4 linked regions of the Cricetulus griseus genome follow. The protein of the gene in region 2 interacts with the protein of the main gene of each other region in a pairwise test. Links are inferred from orthologs where the notes say so. Each region holds a gene or a part of one and is shown on either strand. Other genes may lie near its edges. The genes, in order: Crybb2, Cryab, Lbh and gamma-crystallin C.

Evidence for each region.
Region 1: the proteins of Cryab (region 2) and Crybb2 interact in a two-hybrid assay, tested with the Homo sapiens proteins (2 studies listed by BioGRID and IntAct). The link is inferred for Cricetulus griseus from reciprocal best matches to the Homo sapiens genes CRYAB and CRYBB2.
Region 3: the proteins of Cryab (region 2) and Lbh interact in a two-hybrid assay, tested with the Homo sapiens proteins (2 studies listed by BioGRID, with this or other methods). The link is inferred for Cricetulus griseus from reciprocal best matches to the Homo sapiens genes CRYAB and LBH.
Region 4: the proteins of Cryab (region 2) and gamma-crystallin C interact in binary tests that used the Homo sapiens proteins (3 or more experiments, as listed by UniProt). The link is inferred for Cricetulus griseus from reciprocal best matches to the Homo sapiens genes CRYAB and CRYGC.

What each region holds. Positions count from the first base shown.
Region 1 is NC_048597.1:92,699,332-92,705,616, forward strand, and holds the start of Crybb2 (beta-crystallin B2), read right to left. Parts: upstream 3,473-6,285; coding exon 3,419-3,472; intron 773-3,418; coding exon 654-772; intron 1-653. UniProt on the Homo sapiens protein: Crystallins are the dominant structural components of the vertebrate eye lens.
Region 2 is NC_048597.1:162,498,264-162,504,340, forward strand, and holds the start of Cryab (alpha-crystallin B chain), read left to right. Parts: upstream 1-2,366; 5' UTR 2,367-2,454; intron 2,455-2,494; exon of another isoform or gene 2,495-2,968; intron 2,969-3,029; exon of another isoform or gene 3,030-3,166; intron 3,167-3,265; exon of another isoform or gene 3,266-3,537; intron 3,538-3,597; exon of another isoform or gene 3,598-3,655; coding exon of another isoform or gene 3,656-3,715; exon of another isoform or gene 3,716-3,792; intron 3,793-3,864; exon of another isoform or gene 3,865-3,988; intron 3,989-5,626; 5' UTR 5,627-5,857; exon of another isoform or gene 5,858-6,077. Other genes in the region: Dixdc1 (dixin), read right to left, coding at 3,656-3,660. UniProt on the Homo sapiens protein: May contribute to the transparency and refractive index of the lens. Has chaperone-like activity, preventing aggregation of various proteins under a wide range of stress conditions.
Region 3 is NC_048600.1:10,685,155-10,691,231, reverse strand, and holds the start of Lbh (protein LBH), read left to right. Parts: upstream 1-2,126; 5' UTR 2,127-2,397; coding exon 2,398-2,423; intron 2,424-5,064; coding exon 5,065-5,167; intron 5,168-6,077. UniProt on the Homo sapiens protein: Transcriptional activator which may act in mitogen-activated protein kinase signaling pathway.
Region 4 is NC_048595.1:419,054,542-419,060,362, forward strand, and holds gamma-crystallin C, read right to left. Parts: upstream 3,464-5,821; coding exon 3,455-3,463; intron 3,363-3,454; coding exon 3,120-3,362; intron 1,908-3,119; coding exon 1,632-1,907; downstream 1-1,631. UniProt on the Homo sapiens protein: Crystallins are the dominant structural components of the vertebrate eye lens.

The sequences.
Region 1 (6,285 bases), about 70 Mb from region 2:
TTTCCAATATTTAAAATATTTGGGAAATTCTCCCATCAAAATAGCAAAAGTAGATGAGGTCAGAAGTATTCAAAGGGTGAAGACCCATGTTCTACAGAGGCAGAGCCTAGTCCCCTGTACATGCTAATAACTGTAATTGTGCAAGTCTGTTAGACTCAGACATAAGTATGTTGTCACACTCAGGCCCTGACTGGTACAGGCTCCTGAACCACCAGATGTATACCGACTTCTTGGGGTCACTGTGTCCCCAAACTCATAAGACATTTACAAAGGAGGACTGAGGGAGATGAGTGACACAATGGCCCTCATGCAACTCATTGCTTGGTGAGGGGAGAGGCAGCCTCCATAATTACATCCCTTTTCTCTTGAGTAGAGACAGGACCTGAAGGATGACAGCAAAGGTATTGGCTACGAAAAGGAAACCAAGTATCAGAGAGGGAAGTTAATGGTCAAATACCACATAGCCTGCAAGTCCCCTTAACCAGGATTTGAACCCAGCCTCCTAAGCACAAACTCCCTCTGGGCTGCCAAACCCCAAATCCTGCCTCTATCACACACAACCTAGGAACACAGAAAGGTTAGATATCCCCAATTCAACATCTCAATTACCAGGCTGACAGTCCCTGGCTAGGTGAGACCACCCAGATACTCACGGTCCAGCCTGCACCAGGACAGAACCTGCCTTCTCCATGCCAGTCTCCTTCAGGTTGGGGCAGGGTCCGCTGAGCTCATGAGAGTGGCCCTGGAAGTTCTCCTGTTCAAAGATGATGATCTGGAAGGAATGGGATAGAGTCGGACCGTGGGAAGAGCAGGGGGTGAACAGGTAGCTCAGAGAGCCCCAGGATTGCAGACCTGAGGGCTGGAGACTTGGAGCCTGAAGGTGCTGCTTTCTGAGCCTCAGTTTCCCTGCCAGTGAAATGGGTGACAGAACCAGCCAGGGGCAGGGAAGCTGTCAAGATGGCAGGCAGAAGGTTCAGCTCAGGCGTGAGAGACTCCTTTATGTCTGTGGAGTTCTAGAGACAGAACCAGGGCCAGATAGAACTCTACACATCCAGCAGCCACACTCCCTCTAAGCAATACCCCAGCTACCCATAGTGCATCTGCTACAGATCAAAGCTAGGTACATGGCCTGGACTTGTGTGATATAGCAGAAACTAGAGGGCAGCTTGCAAACTGAACATGCACACCAAACCTGGGATCTTGACAAAAGGTAGTCTCATGGCACTGCTTCTGTGGTGCCGCACCCCATATTCCAGATGCCACTTGGCTCCCAGGAGGTGGCAATCAGGAGGTGTGAGATACCCCTCTACAGACACCACACACCAGCTGTCTCCCGGAAACACACACATTCCTGGGCCCTTTTCCTCAAGCCTCTACCCCTGGAGGTCTCCAGGTCTCCCTATGGCCACCCAAGTGAGATGGATCTTACTAGAAATCCCCCCACTCTGTGCCTTGTCCTGTCTCCTCATCTGGCCTAGGCAGGGGTCCGGTGGAATCCCAACAAGGATCCTGGGACTCTGCAGAGTGAAGAGACCCACTCAAGGCCTCACAGCCATGAGCTAAACACATTTACAACCACACCTGGAACAGGGAACCTTTCTAGCCACTCAGCCCCAAAGACGGGAGCCTGCAGCCACCTCTGGATGAAGAAGTAGACAGGAGGGATACGTACAGGGTCCCTAAGTCAGCACTAGCTAGAGAAAGCACTTCTGTTTCCCAGGCTGGGGATTAGTGAGATAAAAGAAGTAAAAGCAGTGGCCAGGAGGGCTCAGGGGCAGATTCCATGGGATCAGTTCAGCCTTCATGGTCACTGACCCCTCCAGGCACAGAAGCAGGAGACATGGGCTCTGGTTCCCCTGCTCTGTGTAGCCCAAGGAGGAACTGTGCTTTCCAGAAGGGCAGTCCAGTAAACCTGTTTGCAGGGGCATTGAGAAGGCTCTAGAAGTCGGGGTAGGGTAGGGGGCTCAGTGGCCATTACCTAGCCTGGAATATAAGGGCCAGTAGGGAAGGGTCAGGTTCTCCGTACACTTGAGAAGCCCTGGGTCCCAGGAGTGCTGAACCCTGCTGCTGGTGTAGAGAAGACAATAACAACAACAACAACAACAACAACAACAACAACAACAGCAATAATAGTAACAGAGTCTAGATTCTTTCCTATTGACCAACCCTGTAACCACACACTACCCAGTGCAGAAGCCACTAGCTGCACGGCCCTGAGCATGCAGTCAGCGCTAACTGTGTGCTGTTCATAGGAAACACAGATTTGAAGACAGGCAGAGTGGGAATGAACTGTTTAACAAAGGAGACTATGGAAATTAATCACCCGTTGCCTTTTATAACTTTCACTGTGACCATTGGAAGATCTTAAGTTACCCGTGTGATTTGTAGTATATATGAGACATCTCTGTACATCTGTGATGTCATAAAACGTGTGACATCACTGTGTATGTATGTGATGTCACCGTGTGTGTGACATCACAGTGTGTGTGTGTGTGTGTGTGTGTGTGTGTGTGTGTGTGTGTGTGTGACATCACAGTACTGAAATGCTGTGTGCCCTGCACCCGGTGGTCTCATTTTTCTTCAAACTCATCCAACTTGTTGGCAACCTCGGGTCCTTTGCTTGTGCTGTTCCCACTACCCCAGTGGCCTCACCATTCCGAGCCCCCTATTTTTACATGGCTGCTCCCTCACTTGACCCCAGTCACCTCCTCATGGAGGTCCCCCCTAAAGCACCAAGCTGACCCACTATTTGCTGTGAACTCCAGCTCTGGGGATCCCTTAAACTACTTAGTGTTAAATGCTTTTCACTCCTTCAGGCTACAGGCCACCTCAAGACAGTTTGCTGACTGTCACTCACTCAAGGAAATGGAATGAGGAGGTTTAGCTGGGCCAGATAGGGTGTGACCAGCCTCGGAGAGGCTGGAATAAGCTGCCTCTGGAGTGTGAGAGTCAGAAAGTGAAGCAGACGGTCTGAGCTGGCATGGGCAGCGAGGACACATAGCTCTCTGGTAAGACGCTGAGTCTGGTTTCTGGGCCTGCACAATTGTTCTATGTGTAATTGATGCTCCCTATTGTATAGGCTGATGTTCAGAGATGTTAAGCCACTGGCCTGGGCCACACAGCAGGAGGGGGCCTGGAAATCCTCTTCAGTTGGCACTGAGTCTCTGCCAGGTCTTTGGGAGTCCCGTGGGTGATAGCATGTGGGGCGGCAGACAAGCAGAGACATTTAATTCTCTAAAATCTGAAGCTGATGCCGGGCACTCAGGTGGGTGGGGAAGGGCACAGGGAATTGGCCCCAGGTGTGCAGCTGGGGGAGACTGAGTCCCCCGAGGGACAGGGCTGAGAACGAGCACCAGGAAGGAAGAAGTTGACTGGGCATGTAGATGTTGCCTGCCCTTCCCTCCAGCAGGATACCCACCTTGGGATTGAGGGGCTGGGGCTTGCCCGCCTGTGTCTGGTGGTCTGAGGCCATGGTGGACTCTCTGGTGTCAAGGTGACCTGGAAGAAATGAGGAAGCTGCATGAGGACGCTGCCGTAGGAGCCCTGAGCCAACCCCAACCCTCTTCTCTTTTGACAGGGTTTTTAGATTGTTCCAGAAGCAGCCACCTGGGCTCTGTCTTCCCCTACACTATGATCCAGCCCTGATCTAAGTGGAAGAATCCCCCTTCTCCCCTCAGCTCCTCTCCTACTGCTCCTCTCCCTGTTGCTGGACTCCTGAGCTATGGAATCATGTTGGAAGGTTTCCCCGCACCCTCTTGCAGTTCAACAAATTTTCTACCTTTAGGTGTTTAACTCAGCTGATCCATTCCAAGTGCTTGCTCTGCCACCAAGGAGCTGAACAGGCGCCCATAAGTCCTGCCCTCTCTCTGCGCCTCAGTTTCCTACTCTGTACACCAGGAAACCAACAGAGGTGCCTCACTCTCTCTGTGTGAACTAGGACTCCATACAACTGTGTACATCTGACAGGGCCCCGTAATACACTTGGCACCCAGGAAGGGACAGTCAGGGTGACATAGTTAGGGCCATTTCCAGTGGGATTTAGTGACACTAAAGTCACAGTGCCCAGAAACAGGTGCAGCTGAGTTCAGCTCACAAGTTTCCCCCAAGGCTGGCTCAGCGGAGCCACAATGACTAGTCAGGAGAAAGCTGGCTCCAAAATCTAGACACAGTCAAGGTCGGGCCACTTCTGGTTCCTGAGCCAGACACATCTTCCTTCCCGGTCTCCAGCAGAAGAAAGGAGGGGCCTTTTCCAGGTGCTGGCTGTGCACCAGGTCAGTCTATTGTGTTGTTTCCTAACCCATGGCAGAGGGGCTTAGACTGCCCCTCTCCCCACTTAACAGAAGGGAAAACTGAGGCCAGGTACTGGTCTCTGTGCCATGCTTTCCAGCAAGAAGGAAAGAAAAGCAAAGAGCTGAGCAAGCAGCAGAAGCCTCCTTACCAGATCACCAGCCCCGGTGAGTGCCGTGAAGCCCAGCTGGTGGGAGGTGGTATTTATACCTTCCCCAGGGGAGCTGGTGCCAAGATGGGTGACTGCTGCATCCCTGCGGAAAGCAGGGTGAGAATGCAGGCTAAGCCTACACCAAAGCCTGGGTCAGCAAATGCCCATAGACATTGTGTCTCCACACAATAATGTCATTAGCTTTCAGATTCGGCTGCGCCAGTGTGTCAGGCGGCTGGGCAAGACTGTGCCCACTTTGCATGCATCAGCCATCCCGCTGCCAGAACGGGGCCATGCCAGGTTCACAGATGCAATCACCAGGCCCTGGGGCACAGCAGACAGAAGCCTTCCCAGTGTCTGTAGGGCAAGCAAGCAAAGAGGGACTTCAGGAAGAGACCAGCATTCATTCATTCATCCACCCATCCACATACTCCCATGCCAACCTACCTGTTGTCCATCCATCCATCCATCCATCCATCCATCCATCCATGCATCCATCATGCACTGTCTTGACTAGTTCTATGTCAACTTGGCACAAGCTAGAGTTATCTGAAAGGAACCTCAATTGAGAAAATGCCTCCATAAGATCCAACTGTAAGGCACTTTCTTAATTAGTGATTGATGTGGGAGGACTCAGCTCATTGTGGGAGGGGCCATCCCTGGGCTGGTGGTCTTGGGTTCTATAAGAAAGCAGGATGAATAAGCCATGGGGAGCAAGCTAGTAAGCACCTCCCCTCCATAGCCTCTGCACCAACTCCTTCCTCCAAGATCCTGCCCTGTTTGAGTTCCTGTCCTGCAGGGACAATGCAGGACAAGAGGCTGGCTGAGAAGACTGAACTTCTATGGATGCTGGCTGCCCACACCTACTGTCCTTCAGGAGATGTGCCTTGGATCCTGGTCCCAACGTGGGAGAAGAGTCTCTCAGAACTCCACTGCTGGCCCATCACTGTCCTGGGCTCACATCCTCGAGAGTGCATGTCTTCCTGCAGACCAGGCTCTGTCTTGACCTTCAATCCAAGGTCAAGAAAGAGAGGAGATGTGCTGAGGCCAAGCTAGCTGATTCCCTCTCTCATCCAGTTTCCATCCTCTCGACAGCCACAGATACACACACACACACACACACACACACACACACACACACACACACCACATAGTATACAAACACACACATGTACACATACACACATATGTATACATACACACTGAAAAGTTTCTGCACCCCGATAAGCCTCTCTGCTGATGCAACAATCCAAATCAGATCAAATCAAACTGAATTAGAAAAGGCCCATGTTTAATGGATACAGTGCTTCCGTATGGCTTCCCAGCCCCCCAGAGAGGAGACAGGAGTCTGTTTTCTGGGGGACCACATAGTACACATACTCACATGTACATCCCACATACACCCTCCCATAATCCACAACACACACATGCACATCACACACACATAATACACAAACATGCACATGCACACCACACACACACACTGTGTGTCTCAGTCCCCTGTCCATGCTGTTTCCTACTTGTCCCAAATCAGGCGTGGGTCTACTCAACTCTACAGAGACAAAGCCCACGCACACCACAATAAAGTCAGTCAAGATTCTGTTCCTCCCCAGGGAACTGGCTTCTCAGAAATCATGTGAATGGCAGTCTGCTAATCTGACTGATAGGCCTGGAAAGTCCCTGTCCCCACTGTAACCCTTCCTCCCTTGACCTCTTTTCTCCCCTCCCCCCCATTTAAGCTAGCCCCACCATTTCAATAAATGAGCTGTCCTCCAAAAAAGGTCATTCATACCCTGCCATACTCATGGTTGCCCGAGACCCTGTTCTCCAGCTCCTCTGCATACTGC
Region 2 (6,077 bases):
AATTTTCAATGGCTGTGTATATTCCCCTCATTCAATGAAGGAATAAAGTAATGGTTATTGGTCAAACCATATTATAATCATAGGTCTATTAAAATCTCCCAACACAAACACCAAAGTTTTTAAAACAAAGTTTATCCCCCAGGAAAAAACACTGGCAGAAATTCATACTGCCAAAGACAATGTTAATATAACAACCAATACTAAGTATCTTGAACCAGGTGTTGAGGGACATGCCAGCAACTCCAGCACTGGGGAAATGGAGGTAGAATGAATAGGAATTCAGTAATCCTTTGCTACATATGGAGTTCAGGGACAGCCTGTGTTAGAAACAACATGCCTGGGATGTGGGTCAGTGAAGTGCTTGCTATGTAAGCCTGAAGATGCAATGTCCAGCACCTACTTAAAAAGCCAGGCATAGCAGCACCCAGCTGCAATCCTGGCACTGGGGAAGCCGAGACAGGCAGATTTCCAGAGCTCGCTGGCCAGACAGCCTAGTGGAATCAGTGAGCTCCAGGTTTTGTGAGAGACCCTGTCTCAAAAAGTAAGGGGAGAGTAACTGAAGAAGCCATGACATCAACTCCAGGGCTGTGCACACATAACACACACCACACACACAACAAACACACACACATAACACACACACACACACACACACACACACACACACACACACTATAGCTTTGAAACAAATGCAGAATAGCCAAGGTGGGTTACCAATGTCAGTAGCTAAAATAATAATTCAGTGAAAATCAACCATGTCAATACAAGAGATTGCTTTAGCATCACTGACATGAATCAATTCTGTGACTTCTTTGCCAGGCATGCTGAGGCCAGGACTCTAGGTGGGCAATGTGATTGAAGGAGATTCGGTCACACACAGTTATATTTAGTGACATATGGATTGAAGAGGGACCAGCAATAAATAGAGGGAAGCCTTGATTCAAAGGGCAGGGTTTCTCTCTGCTGCTGGATTTCTCTATAATTAACCAATTAAGGCCATCTCCCTGTCTCCTGTGGGAGTTTTCTCTGCCAGGGAGAATGAGGTTGCAGCCCTAACCACACAGACCTATAATAAACCATCTGGGTGATGAAGGATAGCTTCAGATATACTTAGATTATTCCCAAGAGGTGGCTGAATACATGTGTGGTATTCTTAGTCTCAGTAGAAATAATTTCTCAGAGGAACTAAGTGTATTCTGACACTGTCTTTTAAGTCCCCAGTTAGTCTTATCACATGACTCTAGCAAAAGAGATTGAATGTTACTGGGCCTATTAAGCAACCTTGAGCCTGGAATAGATCAAACAAGGCTCCCACCAACCATACCAATTGCTTCACTTGTCCTGTTATTCAGTAACATGATTGTGTGATAGTATGGGGGTGGGGTGGGAAGAAGAAAATGTATTATATGAGAATTTATGTTAACTAAGGAATCATTCAAATTTAACATTAATATTTATATTATTTAGAGGTATAAAACCACAGTGCTATTTTGTTTTTCAGAGTTCAAATCTACTAAGGACTCTACTACTAAGGAGAACATGAGTCTGCAGAGAGAGCAGTTTATGGGAAGAGTAGACAATTCAAATACCACAGGAGCATATTACTGAATGGCTCTTAACAGAAGAATTGATTGCAAAGTTGTCTGACTGTTGCTTTTAGAAATATTCTATTACCAGCACAGGAAGAAATATCTTTTACTCCCCCTTCCCCTTGTTTTGGAAGAACTGTGCTGTTATGCAATATTTATGTAGAGTCATGGAAATGATAGCCAGGCCACTTCATTTTCACATGGGTCTTCAGATGAAGATTTAGAAATGAAAGACCAGCAGAAAGCAAAGACTAGGACTTGGCCCTGTGCCCGTCACCTTCTAATCAGAAGGTGGGTCCTGACACCAAAGAGCCGGGTTAAAACAGAGAAGGGGGAAGGGCATTGGAGGACCAAGGGACTTTTGCCACAACTGATGAATGGGTAGGATTTACACAGCTAAGGACCAGAGAAGGCCCTGGAGCAGAGAGTGAGAAGAGATGAATGGGAGTACTGGAGGCACTTAAAGAGGTGTGTTTCCTGACTCTTCTGTGTTTCACCTCTGGGTCTGTAGCTCTTTGTTAACGATTCCCTTACATGTGTTCAGTGAGAAGTGATGCGAAGATGAGGAGGCCAGCCATGCAGGCAGGATACAAGCTCTGCCCTTTGATGAAGGTTGTAACACCCCTCAGCCAAAGGAAAATTCCAGCACAGTTGGTCACACTGGCAGAACATTTCCGTTGGATTTTTTTTCTCTGTCTGTGTCAGGAACAAGGCTGGGGCACAGGGTGGGAGGAGGGCAGAACTGGGGTAGGTTCTAAGGCAGGTCACAACTCAGGGCTTCTTAATTAGAAACAGCGATCAAGGAGGGAGCCTGTCGTGCAGCTGGAGACAAAAAAAAAATCCTACATGGAAATTCATGAGAATGGTTGGTTGCCTCTAGGGGAAAGGTTGGGAAGGGGGTGGAAGCAGGGAATGGCACAAAAGACTCTTCCATCTTGCCTGTAACGTTAATATTTAAGAAGAATATCAGGTTAGGGTGTAGCTCAGTGGTCTAGCCCCTAGTCATATGCAAGGCCCTAGGTTCAGTCACCAGTGCTGGGGGTGGAGGGTTATATTTTCATATGTTATCTGACTAAAAACTGATTTTAAAAGCACAAGTTGCTGCCTTAAAGGGTAGAGGAGTAGGGCAGTGGTAGAACACTTTCATAGCATGCCCAACCCCCTCCCCCAAGAGATCTTAAATTTAAAAATTCGATGGAGAAGGGAGAGGTGCACAGAGGGAAAAGTGGGCAGGAAGCCATGACCAATAGCCTAAGCCTTCCTGGCTGCTGGGCTAAGGCAACCAAAAGGATGAGTGAGGAGGAGTGGGGGCAAATGGAATGGCAATGGTCTCAAACAAGAATCGACTGGATCACAAAAGAAGCAAAAGGAAGAAAGAGGTAACAGAATTCTGAGAGAAACTTGTGAGGAGAAAATGAGCCTGAGTCAAGCCTAGCTCACCTTTCCTGTTAGATTGAGGATCCCCCACAGCAGTTCTCACAGAGGGGAGCAAATATTGGCTCCTGAAACTGGGCCTGTGACCCAGGTTGCTCCTCTCAAACAACCTTGTCCTGGGTGGTGGAGGACATAACGGCGCAGGACTCAGGGAATTCACACGTGGAAAGGACCACCCGCAGTCTCCTGCCCTCTCAAACTTTCTACCAATGCCACACCACCACACCCCTCCCGTGACTCATCCGGTTAGCTCCTGAAATAGAAAGAGCTAGCTGCCTCCTGTTCAGGGCTTCCCTCAAGGATGTCCCTGGAGAGTCCCCAAGAGGCGTGGGGACCACCTTTCCTGCAAGGAGATGCCTTCTTAAGTCTGTGGTCCTCACTGTCCTCGGCACTCAGGAAGGTAATCGTTCAGCTTAGAGAGAGGCCCACCGCCCTTCTGATGCCCTCAGGTTCCTGCATCTATCTGCACCGCACCCACCACCTTGGCTCTGTACCCAGGCTCTTCAACTCTGACGTATGATGTGTTCTGGGCTCCCCCAGAGGATGCCCCCCGCCCCAGGATTCCCTTCCGGAGATTAGGCGGGAGGCGTGGGGTGACGGGGAGCTGGGGGTGGGAGGAGCAGGGCAGTTACCTCATTGAAGCCCTCCTGCAGGACGTCCAGTAAGTTCCCGCGGGTCAGGCAGGCTAGCATTGTTCCTGCCGTGGGGCTCCCCGGGTGGGGTCGAGCCGCCTCCTCCTCCTCCCTCTGCACACAAAGGCAATCGGCTCAGCTCCCTGGGATCTCTCCTGAGTCCCGCATGCCACTTACTGGAAACCTAGAGCCGAGCCAAACTAGCGGCTTGCACTGGGCATGCTCGCGCGCAGGCCGCAGCCGGAGGGGCCCTGGCGCCGTGTTGGTTCCTATAGAAACAGTCAGGCGCGCACGGCAGGCACCGAGAGGCAAGCGGCCAGCCCCGGGCAGCCCGTGAGTGCGGGGGAATCCGAGGGCGCGCGCACACGCTCCGGACTGGTGCGCGCGCACGCGCGCGCGCGGAGAGCACTCACACACGCGTACACACCTACACACCCATGCTGACACAAGTGGGCTTGCCAGCACGAGCATATGCTTACAATCACTACACTGCAGGTTTGGAGACGGGCATCCCCGCGCGTGCGCACGCACACGCAGGCGAACACACACACACACACACACACACACACACACACACACACACACACACATTCACTCTGCTCTCTTAAGGCTGCTAGCACCTCACCACACACACACACACACACACACACACACACACACACACACACACACACACACACACACACACACACACACACACATTCACTCTGCTCTCTTAAGGCTGCTAGCACCTCACCACAAGGTGGATGGGAAAAGGAGTGAGTCACAGGATTCCCCCACCCCATTCTTCAGCAACCTTTTTCCACATGTGAGGCAACCTAACAGAGGAAGTAGAAGGGCAAGAAAAAAAAAAAGAGGAGGAATCAGGAGAGAGCGGCTGGGGTGGTGGTGGTGGTTGTTGGGGATGTAAGTAATTGAACAGTGCTAAACAAATCATAACATCACAACAAAAACATCAAAGATGATTCAGGATGGCCATGGTTTTACCACATGTATCTCTTCTCTCTTTTCAAAATAATTGCTGTAAGGGGAAAGGTGGGCAAGGTGGCTCAGGGGATAAAGGCTCTTGCAGAAGCTTGGCACCTGAGATCAATCCAGGAACCATGTTAAAGGTGGAAAGGGAGAGCTCACTCTTCTCTGGTACATGCACCCATATACACATCATGCTGTCTCACACATTAATAATTAATTCTAAAAATAAAATAACTGCGTGGTGGTGTACACCTGTGATCCTTTACTGGGAGCTCGAAGCAGGGAATCGGAAGTCATCCTTGGCTGCATAGCCAGTTTCTGGTCAGCCTAAGCTATGTGTGATCCTTTCAATAACATATATATATATATATATATATATATATATATATATATATATATTTCAGGCCTGGCACTCTAGAAGCAGAGACAGGAAGGTCTCTATGAGTCCAAGGCCAGCCTGGTCTACATAGCAAGTTCCAGGCCAGCCACAGATATATAGTGAGATTTGGACTCAAAAAAAGAAAGGCAAACCTTATTTTAAGGGGTTTTTATAAGTGTTTTTAATTGAAAGAAAGCACCCAAAATGCCCTGGTACATTGACAGGAAGTGTAACAGGACTTCTCCCTTCTGCGACCTGGCTGAGGTCACCAACTCAATTGTTTATTTTTAAGAACACTAACCATTTGCATGTTCAGAGAAAACTGATCTTTGAAAAAAAAAAGAAAGAAAATCAAAAGTATGTCCACATCCCCTCCCATCTTGTGGTCCTAGGTAGAAAGGAAGAATTTACACAGTGCTAAGACCCAGAGAAGTCAGAGCCTTGTCCAAGGACACAGCTGCTCAGGGACTCGCAACTCAATAATCAAGGAATTACAAACCACTTTATAGCCATCCTGGGTGCACCCCCCTCCCCGCCCCCAAACCCCATTAGGACAGCACGAAGAAAAGTCACTAATGAGCTTATTGAGTCTTAGCTAACCTAATAACCTCCTCTTCCAGGCACTGGAGAAAAGGAAAAACCTTACTTGGGGCAGCCTGACTGGATATCTAAAGCTGCTGAAAACCAAAGCCTCCTGGAGAAATGATGGGCCTCTGACCACAACAAGCAGGAAGCAGAGAGTCAACGTGCATTGAGCCAGTTGCTCTGCTGGTTGAATCCCGTGGGTTCCACTCTGGCTGAAGCTGGGAAACAGCTGTAACACCCAGTCAAACTAACTCTGAGCAGCTGGGGTAAGTCAGAAGACCTCTCCGTCCTTCACCATTTAGCTGGGGAGTGTCACTGCCAAGATTCCTCGCTGTTCCTTCAGTCCGTGGCAGACTCATAAACCAGTGCTTGAGGCAATGGAGCCCTTTATAAACAGAAGCACAAAACTTGCAGGTGCAAAGAACTGCATGGCACATGCACATATGCAATGATGCACAACCAAAATGTTCAGTTGATGACTTAGTG
Region 3 (6,077 bases), on a different chromosome or scaffold from region 2:
GAACTACATAAATGTAGCAGCATTGAGAACTGGCATAGATTTGGGAGTCACTATCCAAGGCTGATTGTCTGCTCCAATTTAGTAACAGGTGAAATTCAGCTAAAATGTTCATTCATACAGTTTCTCAAAGAGTAATTATCTAACATTTGTTCAGTGTCTTCCGATGTAGGGCATTTTTCACAAGGCCAAGTCACTACTGTAGAAGGAGACCTCATTTCACACCCTCTTCCCCAAAAGGGCTAGTTGACTTCCATTGTGTGTGGTGGTGCCAAGAGGGTTGACACAGCTTTCTAACTTTTGATAGCTCCACTAGGTAATAATCACAAATATGTCAAGTACGTCTGTGACACAGTGGTACTATAGCCTTTCATCCCAAGCCTTTAAGGGATTGCTATCCAGAGACACGGGTGGAGGCTTCCTTCTGTGAATCTCAGGGCCTGGTTCAGGGACCAGCCTCATAAAATTGCCAGAAAGTCTCAGCCTAGAATCTAGCTCTCCAAACATTGGCTCCCCAGGTGACATCATGTCACATGACAGCCAATGGCACTGAGATGTTTTCCACCCTATTAAAAGGTACAAGTGACCCCTCTTAATAAGGCACCCTGGACCATCTTCCATCAGCACCTATTCATAAAAGCTGGCCCTCCACCAGACCCCACCCCCAGGTCCTGAATAGTATGAACAGCTCTAGATTTATCTCGAGGAGTAGGGACAGCCCCCTGCATTTTTCTTGTTACAGTGCTTATGAAATACTGCTCCTTCAGAAAGTCCAGCTTTTACTCTGGTTGAATATGTGATTGGGGGAAAAAGTACTTACTGCAAAAATTGTTCTTACAGATTTATTTTATGTTTGGATTAATTCAAGGGAAGTGTAGATACTGAAAATTATGAGGTCCCTTTTCCCAACATCCTCATGGCCCTGCCACTAATACCCCCTCTCATGAATCTAGCAGTCTTTTACTAGGGAAGATCAGTGTAGTTCCACTTTTCTTTCACGGTTCAGACTTATTTCAACTCGCATTTAATTGTGCTTAGTTTTTGACCACAGCTCTCCCTTTCCCCAGCCCCTTTATGCGCATGGGTCAAGGTTATGAAGCTGTTTTACAGGAGTAATTGAAACAGAGGCCACAGAGGGGCAGCGCTGGGTACCGAGTCCTGTCTTCTTGGCTCTGGGGCCGCACAGCAGTTTAATCTCCAGGACAGACACTGGATCTGCAATTCCTGGGCAGTGTAGGACTCAAGTCTCCTGGAGATCTTTGTGTTTGCTGTCCGAACGGCCCTGGGAGCTAAGGCTAGTGGGGTGTGCTTGCAAGCTGCGCACTCTCACCCCCTACTCCCAACCCAAACGGTGTATGCGTGCGTGCACGATTGTGTGTGTGTGAGAGAGACTCCGTGTGACTGTGTGTGTGTGTGTGTGTGCGCGCGACTCTGTGTATGCGCGACTCTGTGTGCGCGCGCGAGTCTGTGTGTGTGTGCGCGCGCGCGCGTGTGTACACGAAAGCGCTCCCGCGCAGTGGAAAAACCCTAGTAAGACACCACATCCTTTCTCCCACAAACAGAACCCTCCAAGGACCCCAGGACTGAAGACTTTTCGAGGAGCCAACATGCAACCTTCTTTCCCATCTTTTTCTTTTCCCTGATCGCGCCCGGGGCGCTGCTATGATCCCCAAGAGAGGCCTAGTTTGCATGGATGACCAGTGAAGAGGGTCCTGAGATACGGGAGTCTCAGAGAAACGCGGCGTCAGGCGCTGGGGTGGAGGAATGACGCCCTCCCCAAGCGAGCTGACACGTCCCGAGTGGGCCCCAACGTCTTCCTCACGCCCACCCATCCCTGCAATGTTTAGAGTCCCGGGTGTGCGCGGGGAAGGGGCTGCGGACACTGCGGATCTGTGGACAGGAAGCCGCGTTGACATTGAACTCCAGCTCGGGAACGCGCGTGAGCCGTGGGGAGGGGGCCGGACTCGTAGCTGCTGCGAACCAGCTCAGGCGGGGTGCAGTGCCGGGCTGGTCCCCGCCGCCGCCTGCGGGAGCTGCGAGCGCTGAAGCCATTCATGATTTTGGTGACGTTATTCTAAGAGTGGGCGAGGGGAGGCGGAGCTGTTCTCGGACAAGCCCCGCCCCCGCTCCTATAAATGCGGCTTCCCGGGCTCTTTGTGGGACCCGGAGCTCAGTGGAGAGTAGGGAGCTTCGTCTGCACTGCCGACGCCGCTGGCAGCGGGGCTGTCTGGGGAAGTCGGACCCGCGATCGCCCTGTACCCGCTCTCGGTTCTGCCCGCTGCTCTCTGCGCCCATCATCCTCATTCGGGACGCAGTGACCGTTTTGGGGTTTTTGTGTTTTTGTTTTTGTTTTTGTTTTTTTTAATCACAAGGGCGTGGGTCAGCCTCCCCTAGGACTTCATGTCTGTATATTTCCCCATTCACTGGTGAGTATACTGCGCCTGCGGTGGACGCCGGTTTAACTCCGGTGGTTGCGGGGCCCCGCAGCCTCCTAGTGCCGGCTCCGGGTGCGAGGCCAGAGAGTGGCACGGACACCCAGTGCTGGCTAACCCGCCGCCTCAGCCCCTGCAGGAGTCGACGTCAAGGTTGCAAAGCTGGGGGTTGGGGGAGGCGGTGCTGAGAGCATCCAGACAAAGGAAGTGAACTCGGAACCTTCACTTAAGTGGCGGCCAGAGGGTGTGGATATGGTGGCGATGGGTGGGGGAGAACCTGGGTCCCCGCCTGAAGCCCCCTAAGGAAACCCTGTCCGCAGAGGGTGGCAGGAGATGAGTCCTGCCTGGTGCAGGGGGCTCTGGCTCGCCCGGCCCCTCCCCTTTTCCTTTTTGTTTGCACGCAAGTCTCGACGTCGAAGACGGCTGCAGCCGGGTTGAGCTGATGCAGCCGCCCGGGTTGCAGAGCTTGGCGGGGGGGGGGGGTGAGGCTGGAAGACGCCCTCCGCACACGCAAGCCACAAGCAGCAAGGTACACGCTGCACCTTCTCAATCCCTGCTCTCCGTGGCCCCTAAAATCCAACGCGCCTTTGTGGAGGGCCCGGGTTGGGGAGGAGGGGCTCCCCCAGTGCCAGATTGGAAGAAGTCGGTCACAGCTGGGTGGGGGGCTGCAGAGGTTTGCCTCCAGCCGGGAAGAATCCGGTTGTGGGGGATCAGATCCCGGGAGGGACCTAGCTGCTGGGACGTGCGCGCCAGCTGCTTCTTCCTTCCTGCTGTGGGGTAGAGGAGGGGCGCTACAGGGAGATGAGCACCCGTGGTCCTGGAGCCCGCAGGTGCTGGCCTCAAAGAGCCGGTGCTAGGTCCAAGGCAAGCTCTGAGCCCAGGGAAAGTGGGCCCTAGTCACGGCGCTGTTCTGCTTAGCCCAGGAACTCTGAAAGTTCATGTTTCTCGTTTTAACTTTTTGGGCCCAGCCAACAGTTCCAAGAAAGAACAGAACGCCGCTAGAAACCTGGTCGCGGCCCTGTGGATACTCTCCTGATTCCCTTCTTTGGGGTTTGGAGGCATCATTTCCAGACCCGGGAGGAAACTGTGAAAGTCTAGCTTCTAAAGCTATACTTGCCCATGTCAGTCACCCTCTCTTAGTGTCTCTGCTTATCCCCGTCCCACCAGTTTGGTTTTGATTAGAGAGAGCACTGCGTTTCAAAAGAAAGTAAAATTCCCCTACAATTGGAGCTTGTGTACCCCCTCATGTTCAGACAAGTCAGGCATCTTATGGGTGAGGTTTTGAAGAGTGGTGGAGGTGTGCCCCCCACCCCCCACCCCCCGCCGCTCAAAATTCAATAAGGTAGATAGATGTTCAGAGCCCTCAGGGATATTAGCCCCCAACTCACCCATTAAGGCTTACGATTATTTTGTTCTTTAGCACTTTCTACGATGTCTGCAACATTTTCCCCTCCAGACATTAACTATGAGCTATGCATTGTTAGCATGTTGGTAATAAACAGAGCTTCTGCAACTCAGAGAGGTTCTATGATCTGAAAAAGATCACACAGCTCTTAAGTGGTGAGGGCTCTCAGAACTGAATGCTTTTATTGCTAGGGCCAAATACCATTTCTACTCTATCTGGTACAAAAAAAAAAAAAAAAGATTCTTGTCTTCCTGTTTTCAGAAATGTAGTCTCTCTAAAGCTCTCTAAAGCCTGCCCCTGCCTTGCTTTTTCCCCCTTTTAAAACCACGTACACAGGCGTGATAATGAAAACACTGGGTGTTGTTGTGAGTACCTGGATTTGGTAGGTATGTATTTGGCACTATGCATACTGAACCCTGTGTGTGCCCATGGCCTGTGCAAGGATAATAGACTGTTTGTACTCTGCTTAGAGAGTACAAAGTACTTTCACATGTCAGCTATTGGTGGACCAACTTGGCCCCTCTGGAAATTTCCTTGCAATCAGAATAGGTGTATCCTTCAGGCTTTTAATCCAGGGGGATGTTTTTCATGCTGGGAGCTAGTAGCAGCAGCTGCTAGGGCTACAGAAGGGGGTAGGATGGCAGAAACTTGGGGAAAAGCTGTCCCCTTGGGGTGGGGCATTTTGCCTAAAGGGGCATCAGACAGAGACAGTGAAGAAGGCTCCATGATTAGACTTTGTCTCCCTGAGGAGGCTGGCCTGTTGTTGTTATGTAATTCTACTGTGCAGTTCCCATTGGAAATTCATGGGCAAGATTCCTTTCATTCTTAGTGGAAGAATGACGGGAGACCTAAGCTGTGTTAGTTTCATAGAAACACACACACTCAACTACCTATCGTGTGTGTGTGTGTGTGTGTGTGTGTGTGTGTGTGTGTGTGTGTGTACTCAATGTGTGTGGTTTCTAGTTTAATAGAAAATCCAAGATTGCTTTTGTGTAGGGTTTGGTGGTGGGGGAAGGAAAAGTTGTGGAGTGGGGACTTTGACTGTCTCTGGAGATGAGCAAGCCACAGAGCTGTGGGTTTGAAGGTTGCTTCCTCAGGTGAAATTGTTTTGCTGTGAGCTGTTTGAGCATCTCTCATCCTATCTTTAGCAGTCCCCTGATCTCAGGGCCACAAAGTTGCTAAGAGGAGAAATGTGCCATATGTTGACTTCTGGTCTGAATTTCTTTGCAGCACTGACTATCTGAGATCTGCTGAGATGACTGAGGTGATGATGAACACCCCATCCATGGAAGAGATTGGCCTCAGCCCCCGGAAGGATGGCCTTTCCTATCAGGTGTGTTCAAACTTTTTAGGGCCTTGTGCTTTTCTCTGGGAATGGAAGTAAGCATGGTTTGGGGAATGCCAATATCACCTGTAAGAGTTTGAGGATCCCAGTATCACCTGTAGGAGCCATGTCACCTTGAGAAAGTCCTTGACTGCCAGTGAGCCCCGGTTTTTCATTTGTAAAATGAGGCAGCAGTGGTCTGAATCCTGTAGGATTGTGATGAAGAGTGAACAGGATGAGAGGGTGGGTTTAAGGCATTTATATATAGTGCCTGGGACACCTAGGGTCAGTAGACAATCACTGACATCATTATCTAGCCATCCTGATTCTCCCAATAGCAGCAGAACTCTCTTCTCAGCCAGGCCTTATGCAGTAAAAATGCAGCTGATGGGGAAGAGTGGTCTGATAGGAGAATCGCCACCTGTGTTTTCAGAGTGATAGCTGACTGGCAGGTTCAATGTTCATGTTTAAACTACACAGAGCTGAAGAGGACACTTTCTTAGGGATGCTGATACCAGAGTGTAGTGTAGGGATCATCCTGTCTAGTGGAGATAAATACAAACCACAGCAAAAAGAGAGTGGGAGGCACCCTTTCTTGCTCTTTAAGTGTGGGGAAACCTCAACATCACAGGGAAAGTGGTGGATATCACCTCAACGAGCAACAGAGCATTTAGTTACCTCCTGGAGAGACAACTGATTTTGGATCACCTGAGAGTCCCTAAATTGCCAGTTTTGGAGGAGAGAAGTATCTGTAAAAGAATATTTTGAGACCCAGGTATTATGTACAGTGGCCAGCCTAGGCAAGAGCCTAAAGTACAAAACAATTTGTACACATTAGTTTGTCCATTTTCTGCTGTAGCTCCCAAAGGAACACCCACCCACCTTTTATACTGAGGCCCTAGCCCAGCTCTGTTTCGAG
Region 4 (5,821 bases), on a different chromosome or scaffold from region 2:
AGAGTCCATGTATAATGACGTTTGTACCTTTGTGTATAAAAGCCCAACAACCAATAGAGAAAAGATATAGTGATTCACAGACCCTCCAAACAATTCACACAACCAAGCTGTGAAACAGAATAAGATATTGACTCTATACTGTATTATATTTTAAGTATACCATACATCCCTGCACAGTAACACACACACATACCCCTATAATTCCATCTTTATGAAGCTGAAGTTAGAAAGATTGAGAGTTCAAAGCTAGCATGAGCAACAGAGTGAGATCCTACCTTGTAAATAAACAAGCAACAAACAAACATTGCAAATCAATATGTATTATCTAATTTCAGCACTGTGTACAAGGGAAAAATTCCCCAGAAGGGTGCCTGCCAAGTATATACAGGGATCATCAATCAAAGGTATCAGAAGGATCTTTTTACTTCCATTCTGGTAGATTTTGGGAAGTGTTAAGGTTCTGAGTTAGCTGTGATGGTTAGCTTTAATTGTTGTGGTTTGAGTGAGAAAGCTTCTCCATAGTCTCATGAATGTGAACACTTGGTCCCTACTAGGTAGAACAGCTTAGGGAAGGGATTGGGAGGTGTGGCCTTGCTGGAGGAAGTATGTCACTGGGGCTGGGCTTTGAGAATTTTCAGACTTAGCTCATTTCCAGTTTGCTCCCTGTTCATGCTTTTGCAGTTGAAGATAGGATCTCTCAGTTTTTTGCTCTGGCCTGCTGCCATGCCTCTCCTGCCATTATGGACTCCCCCTCTGGAGCTATAAGCTTAAATAAGTTCTTTCTTCCATAAATTGCTTAAGGTCATGCTGCCTTAACCACAGGAATAGCAAAGTAACTAATACAGTCAACAGTTTGACTCAACCTAGAATGACTTGTGAAGAGTCTCTCCTCTTTAACAAAGCAGGGTTTTTCTGTGTATCCCTAGATATCCTGGAACTCACTCGGTAGACGATGGTGGCCTCCAACTCAGAGATCCACCTGCCTCTGCCTGCTGGATTAAAGAAATGCACCATCACTGCCCTGCAGAAAAAGAGTCTTAGTAGAGGATTGCTTAGCTTGGGTGACACTCTGGCGAAGAATTTTTCTCCCTGGGAGTGGTTTCAGAAGGGAGGGGGTTTTAACGTTGCAAGGATAGTGGCAGCCAGCCCTAGCCTTAGGTACATAATACTGGGCTCTATAGTAAACAAAATTCCCCAAATAGTCTGGAGAGGCTGTTTGTCAAATTGTGTCTCCAACCACTTCTGAGATTAGAAGAAAACTTCGACTATATTGTTCTTCAAGAGTTTCAGCTAGCTGACTCCTCCCTAATAGTCACCCTTTTACATACCTTTGCCTGGATTTGCCCTTTCTTTGTTAGGCAGGTATAACCCCACCCCACCAGGCATACCCTCCCCCCACCAGGTATAAAAGCCCTATCACTGAGGTACATACATGCATTCCCAGCCATCTAAGACTTGTTCAAAGTTTAAAAGTTCTTGAACACCTTAACTTCCCCGCTCTCATCTCAACCTTTAAACAGGTGGGTAGATTCGCACACAATGAAAGAATAGCAGAAGTCAGGGTTTGCCAACAATACAGACTAAATACTTTATTAGGTTCCAAAATGAGAAAATGGTAGTGTTAACCTATTTTAGTATAAATCTACCACCCTTCGCAAAGAGCCTGCCTTAGCGTCTACAGCACCCCAGTCGTGGTAGCGCCGGTACTCCTGAGGCCTGAGCAGGTACTGCCGGCCTCTGTAGTTGGGCATCTCATAGAGGACCCAGCAGCCTTCCAGCACGTGCAGGGAGCGCACCTCACTGAGGTGGAAGCGGTCCTGGATGCAGGCACAATCTTCATTCAGCTCCATCATGAGGCCTTTATGGTCTTCTCTCTCATACAGCCGCATCCTGTGGGAACCAGTCTGCTTGGGTAACAGAAAGAGCAGAAAAAGGCATTGAGCGTCTTCCAGAACTTGTGGCTGGCTGGGCGGAGGGGGGAAGGGGGAGGAGCTGCCGGTGTAATATCGGAGCCTCTGAGATTTAGAACTGTGCACTGATAAATCTGCTAGCAAGCGTTACAAACTCCTACATGCCCAGTTTCGGTTTTTCATCTAGGAGGTAGAATTTTTAACATGTTAAAACTGTATTTCAGCCAAAAATTCAAATATCTTAATTCCCAACTCTCTGTGTTCATTCTACGTTGTATGTTGGCAAATATAAATAATGGATGTTGATTAGTATTTTTTTTTACTTTTGTATATGTTTATATACATATACGTTCATCGTTATAATGGGATTTTTTCAAACTTACATTTTATGGTTTTTGAGAATTTCATACGTTAGTCCTGAATTTACATCATTCCCAGCTGTCCCATTCCCCTGATTTTGTAATTCCCTAAACTGGCTTCACACTCAAGATCCTGTAGCCTCGGCTTCCTGGATTACAGGGAATCAGTATGCCTGGCTAGTGTAGAGTTCAGAAAACTTAAATAACTTATGTGAAAAGTTAATCTAGAATTTAGATGGTTTTCAAAATTAAGGAAAATTATCATTTCCAAAATTGGTCTCTGTTTTTACACAGTTTTTGATCACCATACTTTTCCATGTTTCCTACCCCACAGTAATTAACTCTCTTATCAGAAATTCCGTTATAGGTTAAAATCAATCTGATAGGCATAATGCCTTCTCTTGACCAAGCAGCCTCCCATTTACCTAAGTTGTCTCATATACCAGCATAAGACTGCATTCATTGAGAAAAGTTTTGATTACCTAATTGTAGCAACTATAAAGTGGACTTTTTTTCTAAGTAGATTCTTCCTTATAATTCTGTCTTCCTGGTTGTGTCCCTTAGGCAGACACTTCATTCTTAAGTACTTTTTTTGTTTTTGTTTTTTCGAGACAGGGTTTCTCTGTGTAGCTTTGGAGCCTATCCTGGCACTCGCTCTGGAGACCAGGCTGGCCTCGAACTCACAGTGATCTGCCTGCCTCTGCCTCCCGAGTGCTGGGATTAAAGGCGTGCGCCACCAATGCCCGGCACCCTTAAGTACTTCTACAGACAAGGCTTACTCTCTGGACCCCACATCAGTAAAACAGTGAGGACCCTTGGGCAGAAAGAAATAAAGCCAAACAGGACTCACGTGGGGAATGAGGCGGCAGGAGCGGATGGAGTCGCTGAAGCCCATCCACTGCTGGTAGTCAGGGTAGTCCCCGCGCCGCAGGAAGTACTGGTGGCCTTGGTAGTTGGGGCGCTCATAGAGCATCCAGCAGCCACTGTCCACTCTGATGGAGTTGCAGCGGCTGAAATAGGTCTGCAAGTTGGGGCAGTCGCTGCTGCACTCATAGCAGCGGCCCTGGAAGCTGCGGTCCTCGTAGAAGGTGATCTGTAAAGGAAGAGCAATTCTGGATGAGATCATTTTCTCCTTGTGTGAAGGCCGGTCCCTCCGACTCTTTGTTTAGTTTGCGCTCTGCTCACCTTCCCCATGGCTGGCTGACCGTGGTGAGTTCAGTGTCCAGCCAGAGAGCGGCGGGTCTATATAGCAGGAGGGCTGCTGCGTTAGCGGAACAGCACAAAAGGGGCCCTCGGGGCTGAGGGGATTTTTATGGATCGCTTTTCCATGCTGCATTCAGTGGCGGTGATTGCAGATTCGCTTGGTTCTCTGGTGTGTTCCAACGCTGCCCTGGACGAGCTGCTGGGTGTTTTATTTGGATTCTTACTGTTTTTTAAATTTATCAGCACATCAGCCTGAACTTTTGACCTGAAGTCCATGCCCCTACATTTTGATTCTATTATACTTGGTAAGTCTGGGGGAAACCTGTACATTTGTAGAAGTGCCCCCCGAGTCGAGAGGGCTGGAATTTTGCAAATATTGCAAATGTTGATTAGTTTCCTAGTACGACAGAAACTGGTCACCGTTATTCCTTCTTCCTACTTATTTTCTTTACAGCATTTGCTGGTTCGTTCAGCACACAAATCTAGATTCTAATCGTGGCTCTTCTCTACTGTGATGCTCAGGACCTAGCCACGAGTTTCTCCTTTGGTGGGGGCATACTCTGTGATGCAAAATCAGTCCCCCCCCCCTCGTAGTCAGCTTGTGTTAAGAACAAAGGGAAAGTTTTGTACAATCGTGAGGTCCAAGACTGACAAGTATGTATGTATTGCTCCTCATTTCCAAGGTCAGGGAGAAGGCCTAGACTTTCCTGTGAAGAGTGAGATTTGAACCCACGTTGCAGGGACACCATAAATCACCCCTCAGAGCAGGAATTACCTTGTGGGAGAGTGAAGGATGAGAAGGAAAGAAAAGAACAAAGCAAAGAAAAAAAATGAGGAGGAAAGGACATCTCTGTCATTTGGCCACTGTTGGGTCACTTCCACCCAGGACCTATTAGATATAAATAGCCTTAGTAAGTACAAGTCAGACAAGGTTATTCAGAGTGAGTTTGTCTGAACAAAGACAAATCCAAAGCCAATATATCACCCACAGCATGCTGAATGTCACCCTTCTCAGCTGGAATGACTAACTACTACTTTAAAATACATTTTAGCATGTTTGTGAATCAAATATAATATAGCTCTCATAGATGCTGGGGAGAGTTCTGCAAATGAACTCTCTCTCTCTCTCTCTCTCTCTCTCTCTCTCTCTCTCTCTCTCACACACACACACACACACACACACACACACACACACACACGTTACCCTTGTGCCCCAGGCCTATTGCTTCCTTATTTATGGCTTTGTCTTTGTTCTAGCATCCCTCTAACATGGGCAAAGGTTAATGATATGACCAGTGTCTGTCTCTGTCTCTGTCTCTGTCTCTCTCTGACAGGGTCTCACTATGTAACCTAAGCAAGCCTTGGACATACTGCAATTCTGCAATTCTCCTGTCTCAGCCACCTTGGTGCTGTGATTATAGGAACACACTGTCAAATCTGGCAAATTTCTCAGCTCCCCCCTTCTTCCCTCCTTTCCCCTCCACTCCACTCTTTCTCTGTGTATGGCAGTGGTGGGAATTGAACCTAAGGCCTTATTCATGCTAGGCAAGTGCAAGGGCGTGGTCAGGCACACCTGTAGCCAGCCCCTAAGTAGGCGTGGCTACAGCTTCCCCTACACTACCCCATTGAGATTCTCCACCTAGACCTCCGAGTTTTTAGAGCTTCCTTAAACCACAGCATCAAGGTGTACATCCTAGACACAGCTCTTATAATGTCAGCCATCTGAAAACCATCCTATTTCCTCAGCATATGTGCTCTCTCTGGAAGCAACAAGTCATAAACTTAACTGGTTTACAGGCAGGCAATTGAGATGTTTAGCTGACAGACATTAGCATTCATAACACCATCTGGTGCAAATGAACACTGGTAATGCTAGTGACATTGACAATAGTGTTGGAGTGACATCATTGAGGATGTCAACCTGGTTCTCTGACCAAAGATAGTGTACTCAAAGGTTCCTGAGCCATTTTGTGGCTGAAAAAAAAATGACACTTGGAAAAGACATTAGAAATCTTATGGGGGGGGGGGAGCTGGAAAGATGGCTCAGCAGTTAAGAGAGCACTCATTGTTCTTCCAGAGGACCCTGGTTCAATTCCCAACACTTACATAATAGCTCACAACTGTCTGTAACTCCAGTTACAGGGGATCTGAAATCCTCACACTACATAAATGCCAGCAAAACACTAATGCACATAAAAAAATAAAAAGGAATCATCATTGTCTTAGTTAGTTTTATTTTTTTATTTATTGCTGTGAAGAGACAATATGACCACGGCAACTCTTTATAAATGAAAACATTTCTTTGAGGGGGCTCACTTACAGTTTCAGAGGTTCAGCCTATTATCATCA